Linked DNA regions of Diceros bicornis minor. The protein of the gene in region 1 purifies or fractionates together with the protein of each later gene. This does not show direct contact. Links are inferred from orthologs where the notes say so. Each region holds a gene or a part of one and is shown in the gene's direction. Other genes may lie near its edges. The genes, in order: NPM1, CENPA, DDX24 and SMARCA5.

What was found.
Region 2: the proteins of NPM1 (region 1) and CENPA purify together in Homo sapiens (affinity purification with mass spectrometry; 4 studies listed by BioGRID and IntAct, with this or other methods). This does not show direct contact. The link is inferred for Diceros bicornis minor from reciprocal best matches to the Homo sapiens genes NPM1 and CENPA.
Region 3: the proteins of NPM1 (region 1) and DDX24 purify together in Homo sapiens (affinity purification with mass spectrometry; 3 studies listed by BioGRID and IntAct, counting the BioPlex papers as one, with this or other methods). This does not show direct contact. The link is inferred for Diceros bicornis minor from reciprocal best matches to the Homo sapiens genes NPM1 and DDX24.
Region 4: the proteins of NPM1 (region 1) and SMARCA5 purify together in Homo sapiens (co-immunoprecipitation; 3 studies listed by BioGRID and IntAct, with this or other methods). This does not show direct contact. The link is inferred for Diceros bicornis minor from reciprocal best matches to the Homo sapiens genes NPM1 and SMARCA5.

Annotation. Positions count from the first base shown.
Region 1 is NC_080740.1:85,422,546-85,429,614, forward strand, and holds the start of NPM1 (nucleophosmin), read left to right. Parts: upstream 1-4,060; 5' UTR 4,061-4,148; coding exon 4,149-4,206; intron 4,207-6,376; coding exon 6,377-6,456; intron 6,457-7,059; coding exon 7,060-7,069. UniProt on the Homo sapiens protein: Involved in diverse cellular processes such as ribosome biogenesis, centrosome duplication, protein chaperoning, histone assembly, cell proliferation, and regulation of tumor suppressors p53/TP53 and ARF.
Region 2 is NC_080751.1:55,990,273-55,997,274, reverse strand, and holds the start of CENPA (histone H3-like centromeric protein A), read left to right. Parts: upstream 1-3,981; 5' UTR 3,982-5,677; coding exon 5,678-5,762; intron 5,763-7,002. Other genes in the region: SLC35F6 (solute carrier family 35 member F6), read left to right, coding at 265-734. UniProt on the Homo sapiens protein: Histone H3-like nucleosomal protein that is specifically found in centromeric nucleosomes. Replaces conventional H3 in the nucleosome core of centromeric chromatin that serves as an assembly site for the inner kinetochore.
Region 3 is NC_080763.1:39,614,853-39,622,468, reverse strand, and holds the start of DDX24 (ATP-dependent RNA helicase DDX24), read left to right. Parts: upstream 1-4,601; 5' UTR 4,602-4,669; intron 4,670-5,935; 5' UTR 5,936-5,940; coding exon 5,941-6,655; intron 6,656-7,616. UniProt on the Homo sapiens protein: ATP-dependent RNA helicase that plays a role in various aspects of RNA metabolism including pre-mRNA splicing and is thereby involved in different biological processes such as cell cycle regulation or innate immunity.
Region 4 is NC_080750.1:33,315,152-33,322,669, forward strand, and holds the start of SMARCA5 (SWI/SNF-related matrix-associated actin-dependent regulator of chromatin subfamily A member 5), read left to right. Parts: upstream 1-4,518; 5' UTR 4,519-4,910; coding exon 4,911-5,087; intron 5,088-7,518. UniProt on the Homo sapiens protein: ATPase that possesses intrinsic ATP-dependent nucleosome-remodeling activity.

The DNA of each region.
Region 1 (7,069 bases):
AATTTTAATTAATTTAAATTTAAGTAGCCAAATATAGTTAGTGGCAACCACATTTGACAGAGCAGCTGTTGATCTACTAACTCATAGAAAACACAAGGGATAAGGAAACATGTTAAATGACAACATGTCTCAGTGTATAATGTGTAGACCTTGTTTGGATATTCACACAAACCAACTACAAGAGACATTTGGGGAAATTTGAACTGGATAATTCATAATATTAGGACTTATTTAAAACTTTGATTTGTATTATAATGGTATTATGTTTAGGCTTTAAAAATTGTTATCTTTTAAAGATACATACTAAGTATTTATAGATGAAAATATACATATCTAGGATTTTCTTTAAATGATCCAGCAGAGGGGGAGTGGGAAGGATGGTGGGAAGGTATATATGAAACAAGATTAGCTATATGTTGATAATTGTTGAAGCTGGGTGATGGGTATATTGGTGTTCATCATAATATTCTATTTCTGTGCGTGTTTGAAGATTTCCATCACAGAATGTGTTAACAAATGAAGAAATAAATAAAACCTGGAAATAGTATATATGTTCATCTTATGCAATATAATGCAACTCCTAAAAAGAATGCAGTGAGCTTCCATATATAATATCATGGAAAGGTAACTAAGCCACATGAAATGAAGAAGCGAAGTTGCAGAAAATTGCTATGGCCTGAAGGTATTCCCCCCAGATTCATATGTTGAAATCCTAACCCCCAATGGTGATGGTATTAGGAGGTGGGGTCTTTGGGAGGTGATTAGTTCACGAAGGTGGAGTCCTCATGAATGGGATTAGTGCTCTTATAAAAGAGACCCCACAGAGATCCCTAGCCCCCTCCACCACCTGAGGATACAGGGAGAAGTCTACCACCTGGAAGAGAGTCCTCACCTGACCACACGGGCGCCCTGATCTTGGACTTCCAGCCTCCAGAACTGTGAGAAATAAATTTGTTGTTTATGAGCTACCAGTCTGTGGTATTTTGTTATAGCAGCCTAATGGACTAAGACAACAATATATAAAGGATGAGCCTATTTATGTAAACAACAAAAAGTTGCATTTTTATGTACATATATTTGTAAGTAAATACCTGCCCTTTTACTGTACAAGTCCATTTCTTAGAAATACATATTACAAAACTACTTTAAGACATCCATAAGGATATATGTACAAAGATACTGTATTAGTCTGCTTGGGTTGCCATAAAAAAATACTGCAGACTGGGTAGCTTAAACAACAGAAATTTGTCTTACACTTTTGGAGGCCTGGAAATCCAGGATGAAGGTGCCAGCTAATCCAATTCCCAGTAAGTGCTTTCTTCTGGCTTGCAGACAGCTGCCTTCTCACTGTGGCCTCACATAGAGGAAAGAGAGCGAGCTCTTGTGTCTCTTCCTCTTATAAGGAGGACACAAGTCCTATCAGATTAGGGCTGATCCTATGACCTCATTTAACCATTTAACCTTTATCACTCCCTCACAGGCTCTAACTCCAAATATAGTCACATTGAAGATTAGGGCTTCAACGTATGAATTTTGGGGGGACACAAACATTCAGTCCATAACATTTACTAAAGCATTATTTCTTATAGCAAAACTATGAAAACAATTTTAGCGTCTATCTATGGAGGAATGGATATTAAATCATAACATTTCCATATTATGTACTAGTTTGGACAAATGTCCAAAATATATTTTTGAATATGCAAAAAAGGTGAAAAATATATGAATCACACACATTTAAAAAAAATACAAAAGAAAAAAACCCCAACTATGTAATCTCTCTCTCCCTATATATATAGTCTGGAAGGATAATCACACAACTATTAACAGTGATTACTCCTAGGGAATAGAAACAGAGATATGGAAAGAGAGGCATTTTACTTTTTCACGTGTATAGACCTAAATAACTTTAATTTATTAAAAAGATAGTGAGCATTCATTACATTTGTAAATCTGAAAAATGCAATAAGTGATTTTTTTAACTGCTTGATTCCATGATATCATATCTAGACTAGGTGCCTGAAATATTAAAACAACAAATGTATTTATAAAACATGAGCTATAGCTCCCATATGGTTCAGGATCTGTACAGAGCTAAATTTGAATAATCATGGTCGAGAATCCAGAAAGAAATTACAAAGTAGTTCCAACTTTTACTTGCATGGGCTCAAAGAACATTAACCCCTTCTCCTACACTGTCCTGTAGCTCCTCTTGAGACTTTCCCATTCTAAATCCCCAGATTCTTCTCAGCCACAGTCCTCTCCTCCCTTTTATCAGCCTTTCTCATTCCATTACATAAATATCCTTCCAAGTCTCAGTTTTTTCTCTAGCAATTGTTCATCTTCTCCAACTCAAAAGATCCAAGAACCATGTTGGTGAAGGCTCTTCTTCACTTAGGGGTGAGGAAAAAGGTGGGGAACAGCTTGGCCTCATTCACATACTGGTCACACTGATTTCTCCAAATTTAGGATTTTGATTTTGTTAACTAATAATTGGTTCATGTGTTCTGTAGTTTATCTTCCCAACTGGATTGTCTTTGGGGAAAAAGTGGTAGGGGCATCACTGGCACTATTTTTACTCTTCACAGTACTTCTTATTGTCTGATCTGTTGACATAAAAGATTGTTAGAGGGGATCCTCAAAACTCACAGTGCCCTGGAGCTGCGGAGGTCCTCAGTTTGTCAAGGTGTAGCTGGTTTAGAATGCTAATTTCCAGGCTCACTCCCCAAGAGTCTAATTAAGGTTGCATTTCTTACAAGTTAGACGCTTTCTTTACAGCTCAGAACATTCTTAGGAATGTTCAAGATTGAGTAGTGCGCTGTCTCAGAGACTGGTCCCTACATAACCCTCCCAGCTCTTTTAGAAGGATGTTAGCACGGGACTCAGAGCTCGAGAACCATCTCATCACCCATTTGGGTACCTTACTTCACCTCTCTCACCCGTTTCCTTGTCTGCAAAGTGGGGATAGTCACACCGGCCTCACGGGACCTGATGTGGGGACTTATTGCAGGTACACAGCCCTCTTTTTTGTGTGAGGAAAATCAGCCCTGTGCTAACATCCATGCCAATCTTCCTCTTTTTTGCTGAGGAAGACTGGCCCTGCTCTAACATCCGTGCCCATCTTCCTCCACTTTATGTGGGAAGACGCCACAGCATGGCCTGACAAGCGGTGCATCCGTGGGCGCCTGGGGTTCCGGACTGGGGCCGCCAGCAGCGGAGCGCACACACTTAACCGCTATGCCACAGGCTTGCTCCGATACACAGCCCTTGTCTTTAGGGAGAAATCACCCAGCCCTGGTTCTTGCGGGGCTTCTATGGAAGAGGCTGACTCAGTTCTCTTTTGGCCCCAAAATGACATAAAGATGAGAGATTTCAACTTCGGAGATGTTTCCTCAGAAAGTACAGAGCTGTAAAAACAGAGTTGGGTAAGTGCGGCCAGCAGCTGCATCTTTTCTCGCCAACAAAGAATAATTCGTAGTCCACTCTTGTCTCTGGCACCTGAAGCTTTTAACTTGGGGGATACAACTCTGAGCCCGGGCCTTTAGGCAAGTCAAAAATCCTGAAGTGGTTATGCCTGTTTGGAGGTCTGCGAGGCACGAAGGGATGGAGAAAGGTGAAGCGAGCTGCTTTCTGGGTCACTTCTAACTGGCTAGCCCCCCACACCTAACACAGCTAAAACTTGCCGTCGCCATTTTGCAGGGTGGGCTGCGCAGGCTCTTGGCGCGACGCCCGCGCGCCTGGGCTGGAGAGGACGTGGAAGGCTTGGAGGCGGGGGAGCGCGCGCTACCAGGGGAAAGCACGCGTGCGCACGGGCGGCGGCGGCGGCGGAGGGGTGGGGCCGGGGTACGAGTGCGCGTGCTCGGTGGGAGCCCGCGAAGTACCTGGAGGAGGTGGGGGGCGAGGTAGAAGGGAGTAATGTTGAAGAGCGCTTGCGCGGGAAGGCGACGGTCCGGGGAGGGGGGCTCCCGAGCACGCGCGCAGAGACGGGACTTGGTCAGCTCTCGCGAGAGCTTCAAGATGCTATATATGTGCGCAGGGAGCCCGCGTCCTTTCCCTGGTGTGATTCCGTCCTGCGCGGCTGTTCTGTGCAACAGTGGTCGTTTGTCTCCGTCCGCCTTCTCTCCCACCGAAGTGCGTGCCACCACCCCATGGAAGATTCGATGGACATGGACATGAGCCCCCTGAGGCCCCAGAACTATCTTTTCGGTAAGTGCTGGGGGGGCTGGAGCGAGGCCGAGCAGGCCTAGTGGCTTTGAGGTGGGGGGGGGGGGCGGGAATTCTGAGGCCTGGGCCGGTGGAGAAAGGCAGGCAGGCTGGAGGCCTGGGGAGTGGGGCGCGAGCTGCCGGGGCCCTGCCGCCTGAGAGGTGGGGGAAGCGGGCTGCCGGGGCTCTGCAGCCTGAGGGATGGGGAGCCAGGACAGGAGAGCCGGCGCGCCAAGGGTGGGAAGGAGGGGCGGCCTGAAGCCTGGGGCGTGAGCGGTCCGAGGCCCAGGGCCTTGGGGAAGGTGGAGCCGACAGGCTGAGGGTTCGGCGTTGCCTAGGGCGCACAGTCGAGCCCGGAGCGTGATTTCTTTTTAGGGGTGTGTGAGTTCGCAGGCTTCCGATTCCGCGCCGGTGTCTTCGGTGCTGGGCCTCGGCTTGGTGCAGGAGGTTGTGTGGGCTCGTCATGTGAGCATGGGCCTCCTTTCCGGAGGAGAGGATACTTCCAGCCTGGCGTTGTCCTCCGGCCTTGAGGCCTCAGGGTCAGGAGCTCTAGGGCCGACACTCGGCCCGGGTGCGTCGGCTGGTTACCGGGGGAGGGGAGGCCCGGCCGGGCGTGAGGAGGCCGCAACCGCTGGGAGCACGTGGTTGCCACGTGGTTGGGGCAAGGTGGGGGTGTGGGCGCTGCATCCGGGGCTCACTGATGTCCTGTCACCCCCGAGCCTGGGGTCCTGGGTTTTAGTTGAGGCTGTTGGGCGGGAAATGTTAGGTGAAGTGGCTGGTAGCGCCAGGATTCTGGAGGTCTTTGTTCATTGCTTAACATTTGCGTACTATGATGGTAGTTCTCATTTCTAGAGCCATTTTTCTGTTTTACCGCGATGGATGGAGTAGCCACTTTGCAGATGACGATACTGATGCTCAGAGAACTAAAGTGATTTAAAGAATGTTGCACTTGTAGGTAAATAGAGACTAGATCTAAACCAAGACCCTTGTCTCCAGAGCTGGTGCGTTATAAAGGATTGGTTTTTTGTTTTTTTGGAGAGAGGCCCATGGAGACAGTTTTCTGTGTGGCATCGAGCAAACAGTTTTGTTTTTTTTTTTTTTAAAGATGAGAAATGTGCCGAGAGTTCAGTTAGGTCGATAAGACCTGATACTGTACTGTACTTGTAATTCTATACCAAGGTTTTGAGATCTCTCCCCCTCCTCAGCACACAGTGACATACTAAGGAGAGGCCTGGTTTGGCTTTCAGTCGCAGTGAATTTGGTTGTTGAAGCCATTTCTTTGTGTCAGTCAGGCTTGGAAGTAAGCGCAAATCCTGCCTCAAATTTATTTTGTTTCTTTATATACCATGCTGAGATTTGTTAATTGAGCGATAACATTTAAACATATGCACCAGTAACTGTTAGATGGCAATTAAATGGAATCATTTAAAGTTTCATTCTGATGGTATTTAAAACAATTTTCTTACTTGTGGAGTGGGAGTAGGTAACATGCACTATACATTAAGGCTTTTATTCTAGCCATCTTGAAGAGCTGAGGTTTCTGATCAATTTACACCCAAATATTTTTGTGTTAACGTTTCTATTGGAAATATCTTTAGGGTATATCTATTCTTGCTTTAAACATAATTTTTGAATGTGATTTAATGTACATCATTTCAGTTACTTGAAAGATGGAATGCTGGCCCCTTAACAAGTTTTAGTTCTTTTACATTTGTAGTTTTTCTGTTGTAAATACAAACTGTTCATGTAGGCATTTGTGTAACCATTCTCATTTCTAAATTTGCTGCTTTTCTTGGGAGTTGAGTTAGGTAATTTCAGCTTTTTTAAACAGTGGGATTTTACCAACATCGTACAATTTGGTTTCAGATACTTGTTTCAGTTACAGATTTACTAAATCTTTGAGCTTATTTCTATCTGAGAATGGTAATAGTGTAGTTGAGAATCAAATAGTATAATGGGAAAGTGGAATTTATGAAGCCCTAAGCCCTGTGTGGATGTTATATGATGTTTATACATGTTTGTGTTCAAGAGATCCAGAAAGAGATACTTCTGCCTTGCCTTCTGGTAGCCAGAATAGTGAAAAACTAGTTCACAAATACTTTTTTAGTTACCCACACTGAAGTTTCATTGTTATTTTTTTCTCTGTTATAGTTGCTTTTTTCTTCATTTACAGGTTGTGAACTAAAGGCTGACAAAGATTATCACTTTAAGGTGGATAATGATGAAAATGAGCACCAGTTATCTTTAAGAACGGTACTTAAACTTTTCAAAATAAACTACTTAACCTTTGTCCATTTCAGTCTCTTAGTTCCTCCTCGTGTGGCTTAATACTTAAGTATTTTTTATAACTGAGTGTTGTATATACCTGATTATATACCTCTGATAGAAAACCTGGCATTTTCACCACTCATTTGGTAATTATGTAAAGTCCAGTCACACTGTTGGTTCAGCTTTCCATATTTGTATACTTTGATGCCTCAGTTCCACTATAAAGCCCTTTAGGGTAGTGATAAATCTTTTGTGCCCTCCCACAGAGACTAGCCTCTGTTAGTGTCTAGACTGCTCAACTTGTAGTAGGTGGTCAATAAATGTTAGGTGATCCATACTGTGGATAGGTGGTGACATATACAACTGTGTCATCAAATGCATTTTTATGCATTTGTTCAGATTTACTGAATATGAGAAATTGATGGGCAGGGTCACATAAAAGTTGAAGACAACATTGTGCTCAAATTAGTTTTCCATCAGTGGTAATAATGAAAAGTTTATAGTTTTGTTTTTTAAAAAACTCATTTTGGGGGGGAATTGTAAAATAGTGGCAACTTAAAAGTTGAAGTACTATTTTTCTGTTCACAGGTCAGTTTAG
Region 2 (7,002 bases), on another chromosome or scaffold:
CTGGTCACTATGTAAAATGTATTTCTTACTCTTGGTCCAGTTGGAAGATGTGGATTAAAGTGGAGAAGGGGCAGCTAGAGCCCATTCAGTAGGCCGTTGTGAATTCCTGATGGGAGGAGCGGCTCCAGGACCTGAAAGGAAGGAGCTGGTGTAGGGCCGCTAGAAGGAGGTGGCCAGGAGATCAGTGGAGCCCTTGCTGGGTGGGAAGTGCTGGGAGTCTGGGGACGGAGCGGAGAGTGTGATATGCTTCCTCCACTCCCACAGGCCTCTTTGGCTTCGTGATCCTCTCCCTGCTGCTGGTGCCCATGTACTACATCCCCGCCGGCTCCTTCAGTGGAAACCCTCACGGGACGCTGGAGGATGCGCTGGACGCCTTCTGCCAGGTGGGCCGACAACCACTCATTGCCCTGGCGCTGCTGGGCAACATCAGCAGCATTGCCTTCTTCAACTTTGCGGGCATCAGTGTCACTAAGGAACTGAGCGCCACCACTCGCATGGTGCTGGACAGCCTGCGCACTGTTGTCATCTGGGCAGTGAGCCTGGCACTGGGCTGGGAGGCCTTCCACCCACTGCAGATCCTCGGCTTCCTCATCCTCCTGATGGGCACCGCCCTCTACAACGGGCTACACCGCCCGCTGCTCACCCGCCTGTCCAGGGGCCGGCCCCCGGCAGAGGAGGGTGAGCATGAGAGACTGCTGGGTGGCTCTCGGACTGCCATCAACGATACCAGCTGAGCCTTCTGCAGGGCCTCTGCTGCCACCTGGACACTCCTTGTTCACCCTGAGGCTGAGGTCGCACGGGCTGGTGAGCCTCGAGTGCCCTGTGCCCAAGGCCTCACCCTGCCCCTCCCCACAGACCCCCAGGAAAGCTGCTGCCACAGAACATGACATGATACCCTGGTCCTCCTTTGTCACAACCCCCTGCAGAGAGGTGTTACCCAGCCCCCACAGGCCTGAGGACAGTGACCGACCCCTGCCTGGCTCCACGAGGAAGTCACTTAACCTTCTTGAGGCCACGATTGCCTCATCCGCACCCACCTGTGCCTCGTCTGCACCCACCTGTGCAGGTTGTTATGCAAGAGAATGAAAGTTAAGCACCGTATTTTCTAAAACTTGTAAGATATTCCCTAACCCTGTCTGGAGACCTAGGTTTCAGTCAGGCTGTGCAGCAGACTCGTGTATGCTCCCTAGCCCATTACCTGGTCGCTCTGGGCCTTGGTGTCCTGCTCTGTAAAGCAGAAGGTATCAACACTGTGGCTTCAGTGCCTTCCAGCCCCAGCTGGGCACAGTTTGTAGGCCTACGATTTTGACCTACCTGGGAAAGGAGTAACAGCCCATTTATTGGAAATGCCCCTCTGCCCACAGTGCCTCCTCCCCAAGCCTGTTTTGATGTCCTTGCTCACACACCCTCAAGTCTTCCCTGACTGAGAGGGATTACAGCCAGAATTCCAGGCAGCCCTTGATAACAGTGTTTAGGATGTCTTTACCTCCATTTTAAAGATGAGGAAACTGAGGCCTAGGGTTCTGTATTTTTTGGCAGGAGGGCTCTCTTGCTGTAGGCTCTGGCCATGCAGCCACATGATCCTGCCATAGGCTGAGATCTAGAGTACATTTGGACCTCAGCCCCCACCTCCCAACCTGACTCTTAGAGAACCCTCCAGGTTGGTGGACTTACCAGGATTCTACCATTTAAAGTAATTCTGGTATCCCAGGCATTGTGTTAAGTGCTTAACTTTCATAGCAGCCTGCACGGGTGGGTGCAGACAAGGCAACTGTGGCCCCAAGAAGGTTAAGTGACTTCCTCATGGAGCCAGCATTCTAAGCTAGGTTTGCCTGATTCCACACCTGGGCCCCCACCTCCCATATGGGTTTCCCTGGGGTCTTTGGGGGGAATTTCCTGTGGCTGGGATAGAAGCATTATGCTGTTGTCCTCCTGGTAACCCCACCCAGAAGAGATGGACTGGCTGGCATCAGGGACTGCAGGGAGCTGAGCAGCCCTCTGTTCCAGTGTTCCTCACTCTGGTAGTTTCTGGAGCCTCAGACCATCTTCCTGGGCTGCTCAATCATAAAACAAAGCACTGAATGCCTTCCTTAAAATAGGTTCTGGGGAAAGGATCTTTGACAAGCAAAGCCCTCAGACTATGCGGGAATCCAGCAGGTTCTTACAGCTTGTTGGGAGAGGAGGGCCTCTCCATCCCACCAGCTCACAGAAGAAGGAAATGGAGAGTGAGGGTGGTGGGGACTACAGCTGCCTTGTCCAAAAAACTGGGGCCTTAGAATGTTGTTTTAGGCTTTATTTTAAAAAGGGAAATTGGTAGTATGGACTTTTTTTTAACAAGAGGGAAGGAGCACAAGGGTTGGAACGTTCCTGGGGATAGCGTCTAGAATGTTGGGATGGAAAAGCTCTAATGTACCAAAGCATAGAAATCACCCAGTCCACCATTCATTGTTCAGATGAAGAAACTAAAGCCCAGAGAGAGGAAGGAACTTCCCAAGGTCACACAGCCAGTGACATGCAAAGCCAGATTTCCTGGTTCTCAGTACTTGCCCATCCCATTCTGCCACAGGGAGCGTAGCCAGGGGCCTGTACCGAGAGTCCAGGACTGCTCCTCTGCTGCGGACTGCCCAGCCTGTGCGCTCAACCATGCAAACCGCTTCAGAGGGTGTTAGAGAAGCACTTGGCCTTTATTTGAGTGCTGCCATGGGAGACTGTGTTGATTTTAATGTTGAAGGGGTGGGGGGAACTATAATGGGACTTCAGTGGTCAGGGGTTGCAGAGCATAGGGACACCCTGTCAGGCCTGCCACCAATTCAGGGAACCTGCTTTACCTCCTGGAGCTTTAGGTCTTCACATCTCCAAAATGAGAAAGCCAGCCTCCATCTTGCAGGATGAGTGTGAAAATTACATAAGATGATAAACTGAAGGTGCCTCTATGTGCCAGTGCACAGCAGAGTGTCACGTAGGGCTGCACTGTCCACCACAGTGGTCCATCGGGGGCACTGAAGTCCCAGCATTGTCACGGCACAGAACATCGGTTTTGCTCAGCATAGGAGAAATGTTTTATTAAAACAAACCATCATGGAGTAGAATGTGAAATTCACATCGATGATAAATTAAAACAGGATGCCTCCAGAAAATTTTATGCTGGCAGTAGGTGTCCTCCCAGGCCCTGGGATGTGTCCACTGTACCCTGTTGTCAGAGGTGCTTTGAGGGTGAATGAGAGGCCTTACTGTGTTGTGCTGGTCATGTGCAAGGGGAAGGACCTCCCCTCTCCTGAGTCTGGATGGTTGCGGGGAATGTCTGTAGCTGTGGCCTACTGTTCTGAGTGGAGTAAGGGAGCCCTGAATGGTGGGCATTTGGCGTGGAGGCCCTGAGCCCCAAAATCAGAATAACTGATAACAGACCTCCATCGGTTATCAAATATTTGAACATCGGTTCAAATACAGTGTAATTTAAATCATCCACATGGTGAACTGATTAGTCCTCGTAGAGTGATCCTAGGGGAGCCTGGGGCTGGAGCTTCCTCCAGGACTGCCATCCAGGCCTGGGAGTAGCCCTCAGGCTCCTCTCCACCGGGAATCTGCCCACAAGGCGGAGATTTAGTCCCGTGCCAAATGGTTCTGTTTGCCTTTACTTTGCCCAAAGGACTCTGCGTAGTTGAACAAGCAGACAGCGCTCCAGGAGGTCAGAGCTCTGACCCCTTATGAGGACTTCAGAGGAGTGGAGCAAAGGGCCTCCTGTGTAGGAGAAAGAAGCAGAATCTGGCGGCAGAGAGCTGTGTTCTCAGCCCTGCCTCTACCTTGACTGGATGGCCTTGGACAAGTCATGTTACCTCTCAAGACCTTGGCTACCTATAAAAAGGAGAGGTTCTCAGCATTCCTAAACGTGTTCACCTCCCTGACCCACTTATAGATTGCCTTTTGTTGACTACATCCTTTCAAAACTCGAGGTAAGCAGGGGTTTCCCTATGTAGCCATAAAAGTTTATAGATCACCCTTCTTCATTAAGAACACTTGTCAAAAAAAATTTAATAAGGGGTTTCTATCCCAGAATTCAGCAAACTTGATTGAGGACTGATGTGCTCCAAGGAGAGTGGATCCATCAAAGAACACAGGAGAAATGAATATGTAAAGAAAGAATTCCAGCACAGTGTGATGTGCAATAAGAGGCCTTTGTACGAGGTGCAGGGAAGGTAGTACAGGAGAGACCAGCTAACTCCATCTAGAACTGTCAGAGAGAGCTCCACTTGAACTGGGTGTTGAAGGATGAGCAGGAGTCCCAGCTGGGGGCTGAAGGGCAGGAGAAGGAGTATTCCAGGAAGGAACAGCTTGTAAAACGTACGGAAACGTGAAGGCGTATAACAAGGCGATGTAGTCAAGAACTGCAGGTAAGTGGACTGGTGTGCCTGGCAGTAAGCATGCAACGCAGAAGAGGCCAGAGAGGTGGGCAGGCGCCCAGACAGTGCTGTGCCCTCAGTGCTGCTGAGGCATTAGAACTCTGTCATTAGACGGTGGAGTGCCATGGAGAGTTTTAGGCAGGGGAGGCGACATGATCCAAATTGCTATTTAGAAAGATGACCTGGTGGTTATATGGAGACAGGTTTGATTGGCGTTAAGAGGTACTGAAGACAGAGACCAGTAAAACAACCTTTGATTAGGGTCTGGACTAGAGAAATGGGGGCGAGGATGAATATAAGAGCCATTCAGGGAGGAGGCTCACATTGCAGAGCCCCTGGCTGTCGGGTCTTCTATTGTGTAAGCCGCCACCAGAGTGGGTCTTCTCACCCCCATCGCCAGTGGACCCACGGAATATCCCCAGGTACCGCTCCAGCCAGCGAACTCAAGAAGATTCTGCTTTCCGGGACTGTAGACCTAGTTCACTTCAGCATGCCTGTTGAGAGTCGCTCCCTTCCCGAGCTGGGCTGGAATTCCCACCAGGACCGTGGAACAACCAAGGGGGATGTCAGCGTGGGCATCACAGAAACATCCAAAGTCGTCAGTGCAATGTGGTGTTCGTTTACTTTTAGTTATAAAGTCAGGAGAGAAAAGAGCACCGAGATCAAGATACAGGGTATTATTCTCGGGTTCAGATCCCCAATCCAAGGTAAAGACTTGGGTTGGTTGATAGGGCAAAACATAAAATGTTTGAGCAAAGTGATTTGTCTAGAGAAACGCGTTCTACAAACTCACCATCTACATCTTCAAAATCGAGCCTTCCCTTTCCTACCAGAGGGCACCCGAGGACTCGGGTCAGATCCCTCAAAGACGAGCACCCCGACAGGCAAGCGGAGGGCGGGAGAAGTTCCCGCCTCCCTTTACTTCTCCAAGTTCCCATAGGCTGAGTCCTGCTGTGGACCCGCCATGTTCCCGCTCTCTCCTCCTATCACCGCCGCCGTCAGGGTCCCGGGCTGTGTTCTCATTGGTCCTCCCGCAGTCGCTCTGCGCCGGGGCGTTCCAGAGGCAGCCACTGAGAGTCGCTGGATTCGGGTTTTAAAAAACGCCGGCAGGGAATCGGCGATGCGGGCGTTTTGAACGTGAGGCGGCGCGGCGGCTGCGGAGCACCCAACCGCGGGGCCACGGGTCGGGGCGCTGCCAGGCCGCCCGCGGACGCCAGCCTTGGTCTCCAGACTCCGAAGGCCGAGAAGGAGCCGCGGGGCCGCAACCCTCCGCGCCCGCCATGGGCCCGCGCCGCAAGCCCGAAGTCCCGAGGAGGCGCGCCGCCAGCCCGGCCCCCGGCAGCCCCCGGCGGGCCCCGTCCTTAGGTAACCGGCCGCGGCCCCTTCCCGGCACGTGCTGTGAGGTGGGCACGGCCGGCTCGCGTGCCCGTTTCGCAGACGAGAACACCGAGGTCGCGTGCCGAGCCTGGGGTTGTGCCGGAATGCCCCGGTTCCGGGTCCGCTAGCATCCTCTGCACTGGCCAGCGCGGTTCTGCCGTCCCCCATCTGCTCGCCGCGGCCCCGGGGACTGGGGAAGGCAGTGCCGCGCAGGAGAAGGACGGGCCCAGACAGCCTGGGTGCTGGTGCTAATTCTTCCCGATGCTACTAGCATTTATGGAGTGCTTACCGCTAACTAGACATTGTGTTAAACTCTTTACGAGAATTATCTCAACGTTATATTGTGCCCATTTTACAGATGAGAAAACCGAGGCGCAGACAGGCCAGGTGACTTGAACAAGGTCACACCCCTGTTCCGGCAGACACCGGGCTTTCAAAATCAGTTTGTGATTTTTTAAATTGCAAAATTATTGGCTGCTTTTTGTGACGATTTCAAACAACAATTCTGCTTTTAGAAAGTGCCCTTCCAGGGCCAGCCTCCATGGCCTGGGGTTTAAGTTCAGTGCACTCTGCTTCGACAGCCCCAGGTTCTGGTCCAGGGGTGCAGACCTACACCGCTCATCAGTGGCCATGCCGTGGCAGTGGCCCACATACAAAATGAGAAAGATTGGCGTGGATGTCAGCTCAGGGCGAATCTTTCTCAGCAAAAAAAAAAAAAGAAAGACGAAGGTACCCTTCCAGGTTTTTTTGTTTTTTCTCTTCAGTGAGTGGCTGTGTTGGGCCTTAACCAACGTGCTCTAACTCAAGCGGTGCTCTCACCTTGTTCCCTTCCCGAGGTTATGTGCCGGAAAGAAGACTGGTTTGTGGTCCTCAGTTTCTCTACTGTGGTCTGGTGGGTGGGAGACCCACTGGCAAGAACTGGGCTCTGTGGCAGCAACCGCTTTACTTGTCTTCTGCTGCATGACTAAGAGCAGGGTGAAAAAAGTATAGATTATTTATAGATGTTGCTGCTGTGAACGGGATTTTTTTTTCTTTCCTAAACAAATAACCTTTGCATCCAGCCAACCTGCTGAATTCTCTTGTGAATCCTAATAGTTTTTCAGTTGCTCCAGTTGAAATGTTTAAATAGGCTACTATATGGTCTGCAAATAATGACTTTCGAATCTTCTTTTTCCTATTTGTACGTTTTATTTCTTATTGTATGGTACTGTGGAGGCCCTAAGACTAG
Region 3 (7,616 bases), on another chromosome or scaffold:
CCCGGCCCCGACCACAGCTTTTAACGTTAGTGACTTTGCTTGGCTCTCTGCTCTCCAGGGTTCTGTTCATCTCTAATATCCCATCTCTGTCCCCCGCCCACCGCCCCCAACCCAGCCTAAGTCTTAGGGCTTAAGAGTAACCTGGGTTGGGACACACTGGTAGCTCTCAAAGACTCAGGGGAAAGGTGGGTTCAAGTCCCTTCCCAGCAGACACTCACCTCGGATCACAGCAGCCTGGACGAAGGCAAAGAGGGATGCCCTGCCCCCCACTTCCCCACTTCCCAGGCTCCTGTCTACCTTGGGAGGTAACTGCCTGAGAACGCAGAGCAGTGTCTGAAGTCCTGCGCTTGGTGAGGCTGCTAAGGACTCCAGCCAGCTAAACAGTCCCACCCTGGGTGACATTAACCCCACAGGTGAGTCATTCTCATCCCAGGCTTGGTGCCAGTTAGACCTCACTTTTGCGTTGCTAACCTAAGGATGGAACAAGTGTGGGCTGGTCTTCAGGATAACCTAATTCCAACATACCCCAATGCCAGGAGCATTACCTTCCCTCTCAAAATCCCCTTCTTGGATCTGTGAGAAATCCCTAGTCCTCCTTTTCACTACACTGTGACCGCACATCTTACGAACTTCATTTTGTATGAGGTCATCTCTCCCCTGTGCCCCCAGGATGTACAAATTTACAGTACAAAACATTTTACATTTGCCGACAAATGGCTTAGAGCCCTAAGCCCATATCTGTAATAATCAGGGATGCAGCGCAGGCTGGGGGTTAACAGCATGATATCTGACCAGTGGCCTGGATTGTTCATTAACAACTAGTGTGACCTTGGGCAAGTTCATTAACCTTGATGTGCCTGCCGTATTAGTTTGGAGAAACGCAGGCACTCAGAAAATACACTTATGACATTTACTTGTTTCTGTCCCTTGCCCTTTGCAGAATAAGTCTCATGAAAGTATAGATTGGTCTGTCTTTTTCTCTTGGGTCAGCACTCAGTACTGAGTAAATATGTTTTGAATGAAAGAAAGAATAAGGAGGAGAGAGGAAAGTGAGAATTGCAGGGTGAAGTTGGGGAAGAAAGGAGGGGCAGGAAACGAAAGAAGGGGCAGAATCAAGGGCGGGAGGGGCCTCTGCTTGGGATATCCTTGAACGGCCTGAGCAATGAGGCTTTGCCTCTCACGCAAGACGAGGAGACGAGGTGGCCAGCCCACAGCCCCGCCCGTCCCCCAGCCCCCAGCTTCGTTTAGCTTTGGAACAACAACCCAACCAGTTCAGCCTCCCCTGCTCCAGCTTCACTGGGCTCCTGCCTGAGCACTGTCCCTGGCACAAGCAGGGGAGAGGTTTTCAGAGCCGGGTTGCAGGAGCCCCTCCTCCGTATCAGTTGGTATCCGCTCTCCTTCCCAGCAGAACTCGAGGCTGCAAGGACATCCCCCACCCGGAGAAACAGAGACATTCTCTGAATTTCCTGTCACTAGAAGACAGCTAGAAAGACAACTTGTAGGACAGAAAAGAATGATACCATCAGACCACGTGTGACATTAAAAACACCATGAACAAAGTTAAGAGACAAGTGATCTACTGGGGGAGAAAAACCCAAAACAGTCTCACCATTAGTATCCCCAATGTAAAGAGACTTCTTATGGAAAAATTTTTGAAAAGAACTGTCTTTAAAAAGGAATGCTAAGACTAAAAGAGGTAGTTCCTAAAGAGAGAATTACATGTGGCCAATAAATATTTGAAAAGATGTTCAATCTCACTAATGGGAAAATAATTTTTTAAAGGAGATATTGTATGTCTGTGCACGCACGCGCGTGTGACGCCTCTATCAGCCAGGGTTTGGCCGCAGGTAACAGAAATCACTCCAGCTAACTTAAGCAGAATGGGTTTTAACACAGGGAATTAGGTGCCTACAAAATTGTTCCAGGATTGGAGGAGGAAGTTCTAGGCTGAGGTTCCAGGAATGACACTCTCCTCAGAATGACACTGAAGGAGTTGGCCCCGTGGTCGCAGTGGTTGAGTGCGCGCGCTCGGCTGCTGGCGGCCCGGGTTCAGATCCTGGTCACGCACTAACGCACCACTTGGCAAGCCATGCTGTGGCGGTGTCCCACACAAAGTGGAGGAAGATGGGCACGGATGTTAGCCCAGGACCAGTCTTCCTCAGCAAAAAGAGGAGGCTTGGCACGGATGTTAGCTCAGGGCTGATCTGCCTCACAAAAAAAAAATGACACTGAAGAACTGGGCCCCCAACGATGCAGTGACCACTGCCATGGTCAAGAAACTGGGGTATGAGGAAGCCACTATCCCACTTGTTGGCTCTGAGACTGAACTGCCTCGGATATCACCTATGCCAGTAAAATGATGCATCTCGATAAGGTAAGAACTGGATCTTGGGACTGTCTACTGCTGCTGCTGAAAACCAAGTCCCGCACCTTCCAGTTCTGGGACGGGAGGTCTGCTTGGCACAATCCAGGTCATTTGCAGAACTGGTGCTATGAGAGACTCTGGGGAATGAGGTCATTAGCTCTCTATTGTGGAGGGTTCACAGCAGGGGATGAAACAGAGCTGAGTGAGTATCACTCAGTATCTACTCCAGGAAGTAAATAACCCGAAAACACCCAGTGTTTGCATGATGAGGAAAGGTGACTCCTATATCCTGCTGGGGGGAGTGTGTTCTGACACATACTTTCTGGTCAGTGACACAGAAACATGCAGTAAAAGCTTTCATTCCATTTGACTCAGAAATTTTGCTTCTTGGAATTCATTGTAAGGAAAGAATCAAAAGTGCACAAAAACAGCACGTGAATGATTATCATGGTGTTTCTAATGACAACAAGTTTGAATCAACAGGAAATCGAGTACACAAAGTTTTATACCTCCACATACTAGAATCCTATGTAGCCACTGATGATAGAGGCAAAGGCAGGTCTACCACGAAGCGAAAGAAGCCTGAGTTAAGGGACTCTTGCTTGTACCAGCTCCTTCCAAGACCCTGGGAGCAATTCTGGCCATGTGCTCACATTATGTACATACCCTGTTGGTTCTATTTCTCTGGAGAACCCTGACTAATAAAGATGCTTTTGTCAGTTTTTCAGAGACCTCTACTGAGAATCTCCACCATGCACCATTTTGACCCCTCAAGATGGTCCCCAAGTCCCACTTCAGGGGCCCTACTTCCAGCCTCTCTCTGGTGAGGTCCCTTTTCCCACTAAACAGCCCCCGTAGGAGAGGTTCTGTCAAGACAACTGTAGGGCCTGGGCCTTGCTTGCTCAGCAAGAGCCCACAAGCCCATTGCAACCATGTGTCCTTCTGGCTCCTTCTGGGCAGGACGCCCAGCTGCTGGGATCTGTAACAATCCAGCGCCTGTGCAGCCCCGGATCTTACCTTATCTCACTTAATCTTACCTTATCTCACTTAAAGAACACCCCGTCTTAAAGAGGCACAGAGCCCCTCCACGTGAGCTACATTCCTGGGAACGCTGATCATACCAGGGACAACCCCTTGGCAAGCATATAGCCTTTGTGTCCCCTGCCTATATAAGCAACCCCCTCCCCGCCCGCGGTGGCGGGTGCACGTTCCTGTCTGGTCGGCCACCACCAGACCTCCCTGTAAGTAACTCCCAATAAACCTCTATGTCTGGTTCGCCATCTCCGGGTCTTTTCTTTGATCTCTCCACAACCTATCCTACACTGCTCACCCAACTGGGCATGCAGCCACACACCAACCCTGCAATCCTCGAAGGTGTGTAACCCGCCCAGAAGAGACAGGAACCTTTGTCCCGCCACGGAGGGATATGCAGCCTTCCTCCTCACTCTGTCATCAGGGACAGCTCCAGTCTCTTGTCACGTACACTTGGGCACAGGCTTTATGCCACCCAGACTCTTGGTGACACACTGGCAAGTTCCCCCAAGATATGAGTTAAGCTCTGTCCCATGGTGGCTCCACGGAGAGTAGGGACGCTCACTTGACCTCAGCTTGGTGAATCCCCCCATTGTCCTTTAGCACTTCCCACAGTCATCAGACACAGAGACAGCATATGGGAAAGGTGTCCCAGATGGTCAGGTGATACCCACATGGAAAAAGTGATTATCTACTGTGAAGCTGATCTCTCTGCACGCATCAAAGAAGCCAGTTTAGCTTGATTAAAGCGTGGGGTCTGGAGTCAGGCCGACCTACCCCAACCATCAGTGAACAGGCCAAGCATAAAAACACCGGGGAAAACAGCACCTCCAAACAGGGTGGTTGGGTTGTAAATGAAACCCTAAAATGTTTGCAAGGCTTCAGACACACAGTAGGTACTCAATAAGCGGACAACCACTGCACTAAAAACTTACAAAGAAGACAAGAAAACTCGCGTTCCCGTCCGTGAGCCGGCGCAGAGACTTTCGGGCTGGAGACAGCGCGCTTCCCGGGTTCCGCCTGCGCCCTAAGCCGGGGAGGAGCGCCGCGCGTCCAAGCCCCGCCCACCACCCCTCCGCGCACTCCGCCCCCGCACCGCGGCGATCCCGCGCGGCAACGAATCGGGTCGCGGAGTCTAGGGTGGGGGCGGGACTTCCTTCTGCAGCGCACACGCGTGCGTGAGTGCAAGCCCCGCCCCGGAACTGCGGGCAGCGCTGCAGCTGAGGGGCTGGTGCGGAGGTTTCTGAGGCGGCTGGCCGGCGTCTCCACGCGGTGAGTCCCGGAGCTGGAGGCGGGGGGTCTCTGCAGGGCGCCCAGTTCTCGGTCCGGAGAGGGCGGCCGCCGGCCCAGTCAGGCAGCCTGCGCGGCCCCGCGCCGGGGCCCCTTCTGTGTTCGTCAGGGCCCGGCGGCCTCGGCTTCACCGCTTCGTGCGCGCGTTCGGGCCTGAGACGGGGCCGAGCGCCGGTCACGGGCGGGCGCCACGAGGAGGGACCCGCTCGCTGCTCAGGCCGCGCTCCGCGTCCTGGCCCCCGTGTGCCCGACTACCGCCCCTCTCAGGGTTGAGCCCGGTTGTTGGTGGTCGTGGCGCAGCCGGGGCGGTGGGCGAACCTTCCCGCGTCTGAGGTGCTCACCTCGGGAGGCGCCATCTAAGCGGTTTGGGACCTGCGTCACCTTTGGGTATCCGCGTAACGATCCAGTGAGACACACAGCCTCAAAGTCACCCCCATTTCACACACGGGGAAACCGAGGGTCACAGGGATTAATATATCCACCGCCGACCCGGAGCTGGCCACCAGGGGTCCGGATTTGAACCAGGGTTTACCTCTATCTTTTCCCCAGGATCTCGTATTTTCTAGGCCTTTCTGAAAAGGGAGAACATGGATCGCGGTCCACTCAGTTTTTGCTTAAATGGTTTTCAAATCACTTAAAACGTAATGAAAAGCTGGACGGGTTTTAAGCCATGTTGTACAGGCCAGGATGGTGGGACGGGCATTTGCCCTCTTGGGGCGAGGCTTGAGAAGGAGGGAACCTGTGTGCACTTTTAATAAAGCTGGCCCCCTCAGGCCCCCACCGCCCAAAAAAATCCCGGATTCTTATTCTGCCTTTAGAATGGCTTGGGTGCGGCAGGCTTTACATAATTTTCTTTATTTGCACAAAACATTTTTGTGACTTAGATATTATTAGGCCCCTCCCCCTTTTTAGAAGATGAGAACACTGAGGTTGGAGAGGTTTAAGCGGGACTGTCCAGGGGCACACAAGAAGTAAGTGTTGGATCTGTAGTGCACCCCAGTTCTGTCTCGTGTATCTTTGCTCCATCTCCTGCGTCTGCTCTGTTCCAGGCCAGGCTGCCTGCTCTGTGGGTGTCTTTCCTTCCCTCTTTGATCCTCTTTAGCTGGAAGCATCAGTGTTGGAGCCGTCTTTGTGTCCTCGCTTCTTTGCAGGGCCTGATACTCTCTAGGCTGCTTGGAAGACATTTGTTGCCTCAAAACCCTGTGCTTCTCTTTTGCCAACCTAATGGAACATTTCTTTTCTTTTCAGCAACCATGAAGTTGAAGGAGAAAAAATCAAGGCCAAAGCCGCCAAGCTATGGCAAATTTCAAACGAAGGGAATCAAAGTTGTGGGAACATGGAAGCAGGTGAAAATTGACCCAAATATGTTTGCAGACGGACAGATGGATGACTTGGTGTGCTTTGAGGAGCTGACAGATTACCGGTTGGTTTCTGCTGCCAAGAATTCTTCCAGTCTCTTCTCTAAGGAGAAGCCCAAAAAGAGAAAGGCACAAGCTCTTTCAGAAGGAGAGGAGGAGGGAGAGTCTAGCTCCTCAAAGAAAAAGATGAAGTTGAAGAAGAGTAAAGATGTGGAAGCGGAAGGAACCAGTACCCAGAAAGAGTTTAAGGTCAAAGATGCTGAGCCAGAGGCCCAGGGAGATGGCACAGTTTGTCCTGATCCAGAGGTAGGGGAGATGGCATCAGAAAGCCCAGCCCAGACTATTCCAAAAAAGAAGAAAAAGAAAGGAAAAAAAAACTTGGAGCCTTCCCAAGGTACTACTCCAAAGGTGCCCAAAAAAGCAAAGACGTGGATGCCTGAAATGCATGACCAGAAGGCAGACGTATCAGCTTGGAAGGACCTGTTTGTACCCAAGCCAGTTCTCCGAGCACTCAGCTTCCTAGGCTTCTCTGCGCCTACACCAATCCAAGCTCTGACCTTGGCACCTGCCATCCGTGACAAACTGGACATCCTTGGGGCTGCTGAGACAGGTAGGGGTATTCTTATCTGGCCAGGGCTAGATTGCTTCTGGATTGAGCCTGTGGCTGCTAGCAGGCTGGCTGGCTGGGAAAGAGGAGAATGTTGGGAACATAACCATAAAAGCGGTGTTGAATGAAGGTGTTTAGAAGTTAGCTAGCTCTGGGTTGAAATCTGTCACTTCCAGGTTGGTACCCTAGGCAGGTCACTTTCTCTCTCTGAGCTCTAAGGTGTCCGTTATAAAATGGAGATAATAGCAGTATCTAGTTTTACTATGTGGGTTAAATGTAAATGCTACAGTAAACTAAAGTTTACACAATATGTTGTAAGTGAGCCTTTTCTCAATGTCTCAGAGGGGTAAAGTAAGGCTAAGATCAGCCCTCTGGACAGGTAGATCTCCATTAGTATAAGGAAGAAGTGTCTAATTCTCAAGAGTTGTCCCAAGATAAAAAGGGCTGCTTTGGGAGTTGGTGTGTTCATTGTCATTGGAAGGATTTGAGTGTGTGGTAGGGAATCGTCGGGTAGATTTTGTAGGCAGATTTGGGCATGAGGTGACTATTGGGACTAGGCATTGTTTAAAGTTCCCTCATTCCCTGGGCCTTCTAAGACTTTGTAAAGCGATGACAGGTTCACTCACCCTGGGTAAACCAAACTGCTGACTGGGGGGAGGAGCTTGTACTGCTTGGAACTGATAGTCCAACTAGACCAGCAGTAGAATATATAGATAGAAATATAACGTGAGCCACATAATTTTAAATTTCCTAGGAGCCATATTAAAAAAAGGTAAAAAGAAACAGGTGAAAATTAATTTTAACAATATATTGATTTAACAAATTATATAAAAAATATTTTAACAGGTAATTAATGTAAAATTATTGAGATATTTTACATTCTTATTTTTATAGTAAGTTTTCAAAATCTGATGTATATTTTGAACTTGTAGCACATCTCAATTTAGAGTAACCACATTTTAAG
Region 4 (7,518 bases), on another chromosome or scaffold:
TGATGGATATTTCTCCAGGACCGTTTTTTAAAACACCTATTTGCATTGAGTTCACATGTTCATTGCTAGTTTACAGAAATAGTTGATTTTTCGAATGTTTATCTTGTATCCTGAAACTTTGCAGAACTCACTTATTAGGCCTTCGGATGTTTTTGTAGATTTCTTGGCGTTCTCTGTGTAGGTAATCACGTCATCTGCAAATAGGGACAGTTCTGTTTTTCCTTTCCAGCACTGTATTGAATCTCAGTGGTGTGAGCAGAATCCTTGCCTGTTTCTGATCTTAGAGGAAAAGCATTCAGTTCCATCAAGCATAACGCTATCTGCAGGTATTGTAGGTGCTCTTTACTAAGTGAAGGAAGTCTCCCTCTTTTTTTTTTTTCTGAGAGTTTTTATCCTGAATGGGTGTTAAAATTTTGTCAAATGCTTTTTCTGCGTCGATTGATATAGTCATGTGAGTTTTCTTCTGTAATCTGTTAATATGGCAGATAACACTGATTGATTTTCAAACATTGAACCAGTCTTGCATCTCTGGAATCTCTTATTTGGTCAGGGTACACAATTATTTTTACATATTGCATAACCGTATTTGCTAATAGTTTTGTTAAGGATTTTTGCGTCTATATTCATCAGTGATATTTGTCTGCCTTTTTCTTTTTTTATAGTGGCATTGTTCGGTTTAGTATCAAGGTTATAGCAGCTTCATAAAATGAATTGGCACGTGTACTCTCTTCTATTTTCTGGAGGAGATTATGTAGAATTGGTGTAGAATTGTGTGGAAATATTTGACAGAATTCTCCATTGAAACCATCTGGGGCTAGAGATTTCTTTTGGGGAGTTTTTTGGTTATGATTTAATTTCCTAAATAGTTATAGCGTTATTCAAGTTATCTATTTCATATTGTCTGAGTTACTTTAGCTTATATTTTTCAAGGAAGTGAAATGTGTTTAAACCTTACTTATCTTTTTTATTAAGAGCATAGTTAATGTTTTGGTTTAATTGGAATCCCCTTACATGGCAAATGACCTATGTAGGAGAATTCTGAGCAAGATACAGACAAGATGTGATCATTGGTATTTAGTGTTGGAAATTCCCATTCTTAGATACTCACAATCTCAATACTGTTTTATTGTTGTTATGTAGTAACCAGATTTTATTCTCCTAGGCTTTCACAAAATAAAATGAGTATGTGATGAAGAGAGGCTCAGCATTCCTACTTTTTCCTTGATAAACTTAAGTCCTTTTTGTTACCATTCAAGGTGAAAATGCTGAGAGAGTCCTGGCTCTGTGACATCTTTTGTCCTTTGGCAACATCTCTTTGTTCCACTCTATTCAGCACAGCACATGCTGTTCTAGCACGCTAAATCTAACAGAGGGAATTTCAGGCATAAATACCTATTTGCATATTTGAGATAGAACACTAACGTGGTTTTATATTGTAGCATTTTATTTCTGGGAACGTGGTTAAAGCAGTAATTTCTTTTAGAGTTTCCTTGACACTATTTCCTTTATCCTCCTACTTATTAAAAAACCATTAGCTTACTCTTCCTCCAACTAGACTCTGACCCTTAGTCTTACGATTCTTCAGGATTGGAATACCCAACACTTGAACACAGGGCTCATTATATTTCAGGCACTGTATTAAACACCCTCCATGCACCATCTCATTTAATTCTTATGACATCATTATAAGATTACCCCAATATAAAGTTAGGATAATATAATAATAAAAAGATGAGAAAATTGATTTCAAAGAAGTTAGATAACTTGCCTACATTCACACAGTTACTAAGTTCTTGAGCCTGCACTGGAATCTAGGCTTGACTGACTCCCCAGCCTACTCTCTTGCCACTACACTAATCCTATATTATACTATCAATTCCAGAAGTAGCTATTAGTTTTAGCCTATTAGTCTTTAAGAGAAATGAGCCTTCGTGATTTGGCCACCATATAAAGACTACTGTCTGTCTGACTAACTCAGCTAATGTCCCTATAGCTCAGTTTCCAGGCATCCTATCTTTTCTGTAGCTCCCCTCTCCTCTTCCTCACTGCTCCTAGACTCTGCTCAAAATCTGTTTCTTTGTCCCTGACGTTAGATTCGTGGATTCAAACATTCTGTCTCCTCTTTGTCCTTTTTTCTAATTATCTTTCCTCTACAATTTTCCCCAGCAAGATTCTAATACAGCTTTCCCATGCTCACATGAGAAACTCACAGTATAAATGCACATGTTAAAGTACAATTGCCATTTTGGAGATAATTTAATTTATTGCTTTTCTTGCTATTTATTGCTTTCCTTAAATAGTTGTCAGAATTAAGACCCTTCCATTTATATACTTAAGTATATTTTTAGGGTTTCCAAACCAGGACCCAAGATATTTATGTATCACTATGGAGTGAAGAAATAGTCTGAATACCAAATAAATGTTATGTTCTTTCTACTTAACAATGTCAATATTAAATAAATATTTATTCAATAAGTATTTATTGACTGTCTATACATCAGGTCCCACCCTAGATACTACCATTTTTATCCTTCCACACAATTTTTTTTGGTGAGAAAACATTTTTAATATTAAAAATAAGTCTTCTCAATATAATAATATACAGATTTATTTTAGTAATATAAAAACACACAGACAAGCAAAAAAGAATTAGGAAATATACAGCAACAACACTTTCAGAACTTTATTATCCTTCCAAACTTTTATCTATATTTTTGAACTGTTAAAACGTTTTTCAGTTAAACATTTTTTTAACTGAAACTTTAACATTCAGTTAAAGTTTTTTTCAGAATAAATGTTCTTCTACATTAATGGTTGTTAAAGGTTAATAATAGTTCATTTTGTGGGTATACAATAGTTCTAGAATCATACTTTTCAATATTGGACTTAGCCTATTGCTAGTTTTTTGCAATTACTAGCAAAGACTATGATGAACATCATTGTAGGTATTTTTCTTTTCACATATCCTTAGCATTTCTAACGGGTTGGGGGATTATTTTTCCAGATCTCAATTAAAGAATTATCATTCTATTAGGTAAAAGTTTGCAGGCTATATATTCAAAGGAGATCTCTTCTGTTTGAAATTCAACATAATCAACCAGTTAGCTCAAACCGTTAACTCTTGAAAAATGTGCCTGCTTTATTCAATAAACACTGATAGAATACTGGACATGGAGATACAAAGATAAATAAGCGCCTGTACAGGGCAGACAAAAATTTAGTGTAGTATGCAGATTTGTCATTAAATAGAATATATGAACATTAGCAAAAGAAACCTCAACTAAAGTTGGAGTTGGGAAGGCCTGTAGAGAGAGCACCAGTGCCCTACTACTCTTCCTCAATTACCCCAAACAGGAAGAGACTACCTTACATCTCCAACAGAAAGTTGCCTACTACCTTACTTCTCTAGGAGGAGGAAAGATTTTCTTCTTGCCCAGCAACAAGCCCCACCGATGGAAAACACTGCAGCTCGGCCAATGAGGAGCTCTGCTACTCTGAACTTTTACTCTCCTCCAAGGAACTTTCATTTAAGGAACTTTCATTTAGAACTGTCCCAACACTCCTTTTTCTGTATAACAGCAAGCTCCCTTCCTTTGTTCTTCAGCCTTGCCTATGGTGCACATGTCCAAATTGCAATTCCTTTGCTATTCCCAAATAAACTCATTTTGCTGGTAAAATAATTGGCAATTTTATTTTAAAGTTGACAGATACAACGTGCTTAAATTCTGTGGTAGATGGATGCACAAGACCCTTAGGCTACGTTGAAGATAACCTAAGGCAGTGTACAAAATAATTAGTGGTGATTACCTTTAACAAGGAGAAGGATGTGCATTTTTATTTAATATTTGGTGATCGAGGATAAATTACAACTCACCGCCACTCTTCCTTATCTATTGATTTCTCATATGGTAGAGTGAACATAATTTGCTTACTTTTACCACGTAAATTCAGAGGAACTATTGTTTCTGTACCTAAGGGAAGTAGAAGAAATTTAGAAATGACTGATAAAAACAAAACAAAACAAAATCACCCTAATGGGCCCTTTTCTTTAGACAACACAAACGTGAGACGTCACTTGGGATAACTATAATATCGTCAACGCTGTGGCGTCACGCCTATAAGCCGAGGCGATCGAAGTGCTAAGGCCACCACAGGCCTCCGTTTCAGTAAGCGTCGCAAAACCTGGGCAAGTTTTCCACGAGTCCGCCGAACCAGCCAAGCCAAGAACACACGGCCGCCGAGGACAGCCAGCCGTTATCAACGCATGTAAGACTGGGCTCGCGTCACGCCAGGGAGCCGACGCACAGACTTGCGTCTCCGAGCTCTTCCTCGAGGCCCCGCCCACTCCTCGCCCTAGAGCCCGCTGGGGGCCCTGAAGGGGGCGTGGCTAGGGTGAGGAGAGGAGAATGCGCATGCGCACTCGGTACTCAGTCAATTAGCCAACTATCAATCTCGCGAGGGTTGAAAGTCGGTGGCGTAGGTAGTTGTCTGGGATGCTGGCGAGATAGATGCTATCTACGAGGAAGAAGCGGAGGGGGCGAAACTAGTTCCTCGCCTCGGTCTCTCTTTCGCTTTCCCTTCCTCTTCCTCCAACCCTCCGCCCTCCTGTAATTCAGCCCGCCTTCCCTGACCTCAGTGACCCGGGTGGCCCCGCCCACTCTCGTCGACGTGATTCCCGCCGTGAGGTAAGCGCCGGTCGAACCCCGAGCCCCGCGGAAGAGGAGGACGACGAGAGGAGGAGGCTGCTGGGCCCGGCTCAGGCTCGGCGCGGAGCCGCGGCGCGGGGGGCGTTCGGGTGGTCCTCTCGTTCCTCTGTCCGCTCATTGCGACGTAGCCGGCCAGGCCTAGGCCTCCTCCTCCTCCCTGCCGGCCCGGCCTCTGGCAGCATCGGGTGACGCAGAAGGAACATCATGTCGTCCGCGGCCGAGCCTCCGCCACCCCCGCCTCCCGAGAGCGCGCGTTCCAAGCCCGCAGCCTCGGCCGCCAGCAGCGGGAGCAACACCAGCAACAAAGGCGGCCCCGAGGGCATCGCGGCCCAGGTGGCTTCCTGTGCGGCCAGCGCCGGCCCCGCGGACTCCGAGATGGAGGTGAGGGCGGCTTGTGGCCTGGGGAGAGGGCGCCGTGGTGAGGAGGAGCTGGTTCCCTCGCCTGGATTTTAGTGATCGGACGCAGAGCTGTGCGTAGCCTCTCTGCACCCAAACTCGGCCTCAAACTCTTTGGATCCGAAATGATGCTCTCACCCTTGCGCCCTTGTGTTTAACCTACCCAACGAGGCTGAAATGGATTTCTGCACTTCCCATTTTACATTGTCTCTGGAGCGAATCTTGCCAAATCCTTGAACTCTCTTATTAAACAGATGTTCTTGATTACCGAGGCCAAGAGGGACTTACCCGGGTTTTTTAATTTTTTTCCTCTAGACTCCTGTAATTCTCTCTCTCGTCTCTGAATCTAGGTTTTAGTTTCCACTAAACTTGGGGGAAGGGCGAGGGAGCTGCCCCTTAGGAGTGAGGGATAGACGGGCGGGGTGGGGAAGGCATTTAAAAGCAGCGCATCCGAGGACTTGGGCCTGCTTTTCTTCGTCCCGGTCCCTGCGGGGGCGGTATCTGTTCTGGGCAGAAACAATGGCGAGAGCTGGATGGCCGAGTGCGCAGTGGGGATAAGCGGGGCGCAGCTGCTCCTGTGAAGGGAGAGGAGGCCCCTCCCAGGCACTGTTCCTTAGGGAGGGAAGCGACCAAGGCAGCAGCAGCTGTTTTGGACCCCCCTCTCATTTAGGGGGAGGGAATGGATGGGTGGATGAATGAATTAGTGAGCCAAGGGCGGTTAGTTGGCTTTCAGTGCGGCGCAATTCCTCTTTTTGGGCCTTGGCCTTTTTTTTGAAAATTGGTCCCGCTCGCTGCCGACCCTGCCTTTTGGCTAGGGTTGGCCGGGGAATGGTGACAGTATGCGGGGGTGGAAAGATTGGGGAGCGGCCAGGCGGGTCTCTTGGGTGTGCTCCAAGGCTTTGCGATGTCTGGGAACAAAGTGATTGCTTGCTCCTTCCAAATTTCATTCTTGGCCTTCGATCTGTTTTGAGATATTTTATAGTCGCAGCCCAAGGCTTTTTGGGATTTTTCCATCCTTAGATAGACGGAATGGAGGTAATACTGCTCTAAAAATGAATCTTGATGCAGAATTAACACAATAAGGAAATGGAAGCGCAGGTTACCATTGAAATACTTGGTTCAGTATTTTTATTTGGGCACCAAAGGTCTAATCCAGGGTAAAGTAACATTATTTTGTTAGTTTTTCAAAGAACTTTTAGCGATGAGGGTAGGTTTTAGTGAAGTAGGACATCTGATATTCTGTAGTTTTCAGTGATTTGAGATTGGTTTCCATTTCCTATCTAGTGTTGCCTGTTTCTTTTACTCAAGGTTTTAAATAGTTCTTTTGGATTATCAGGGCTTTTTAACCTGGTCCTACTCCATGGCTTAAGGGGGTTTGAAAATCTGTGACGCTGAAAGCAGTTGTGTTTAAATGCACAATTGTTTACAAAGTGGTATCCAGAGTTTTCATTAGCCTCTCAAAAGAGTCTGTCATTTAAATTTTAGAATAATAATCGATGTCTCACTAGAGATGTTATTTAAATGTCAGAAAGCAGAGTAATTTAAAGCCTAAACTATTTTGGCTTTCAGTTGCTATCTTTAAATTAAAGTGGAATTAGAGTTTAAGTATTACTATTGATGTGATAATAAGTACCAAATGAAGTCAGTGGTATTTTTAGTATTTGCCAGATGAGGAAACTGAGTCTTCTGATAAGTAGAACCTGTGATAGAACCCATGTTTGCTCTGAAACTGACCCTTTTCCCACATATCTTGCCTTATCATGTTCTTACAAAGGAGATATTTGACAATGTCATTTATTAAAGAATGACTTACTTTTACCTTGTCAGAATAGGCGTTACAGTAATTTTATCTTTTATCAATCTCTTTTTCACTGACTAATTTTAGTTGTGATTTTTTTCTTTTCACATTATAGTGTGATTTTTTTTTTTGGTCTTTTAAAATAAATGTCACTTGTCTGCTTTTTTCCCTCAACTGAATTCAGAAGTCATTGAGTAAAATCAATGGTAAAAACTAGGTTTGAGTATACATGCATGATATATCTGGCAATCTGTTCACAGTTGAAAAACATATTTTAAAATGCCATTTTCTTTTTGAAAGTAGAATTTAAGGTGGGTTTTCCCCAAATCAGAAAATAAATGAAATCTTTCATTTATGATTTTTTTCTGACAAAGCTGACCTTCCCAGAAATATTAGCTACCTTTCCTATGTATTCAGTTAGTTTTTCCTTTTTGCTTGGTACTGATAGATCAAGGAAACAATCTCATTTTTTGTTTATTATCATCTTTTGGCAGTGTGGATGGAGCCTGTCTTTGTTCTTCTCAGCTCTCACTATTGACTAGACTGATAGATAGGCACTCTGTATGCCAATAATCATATGACCTCAGGAGTCTTGGAATCCAAATCTTTTTTTTTCCC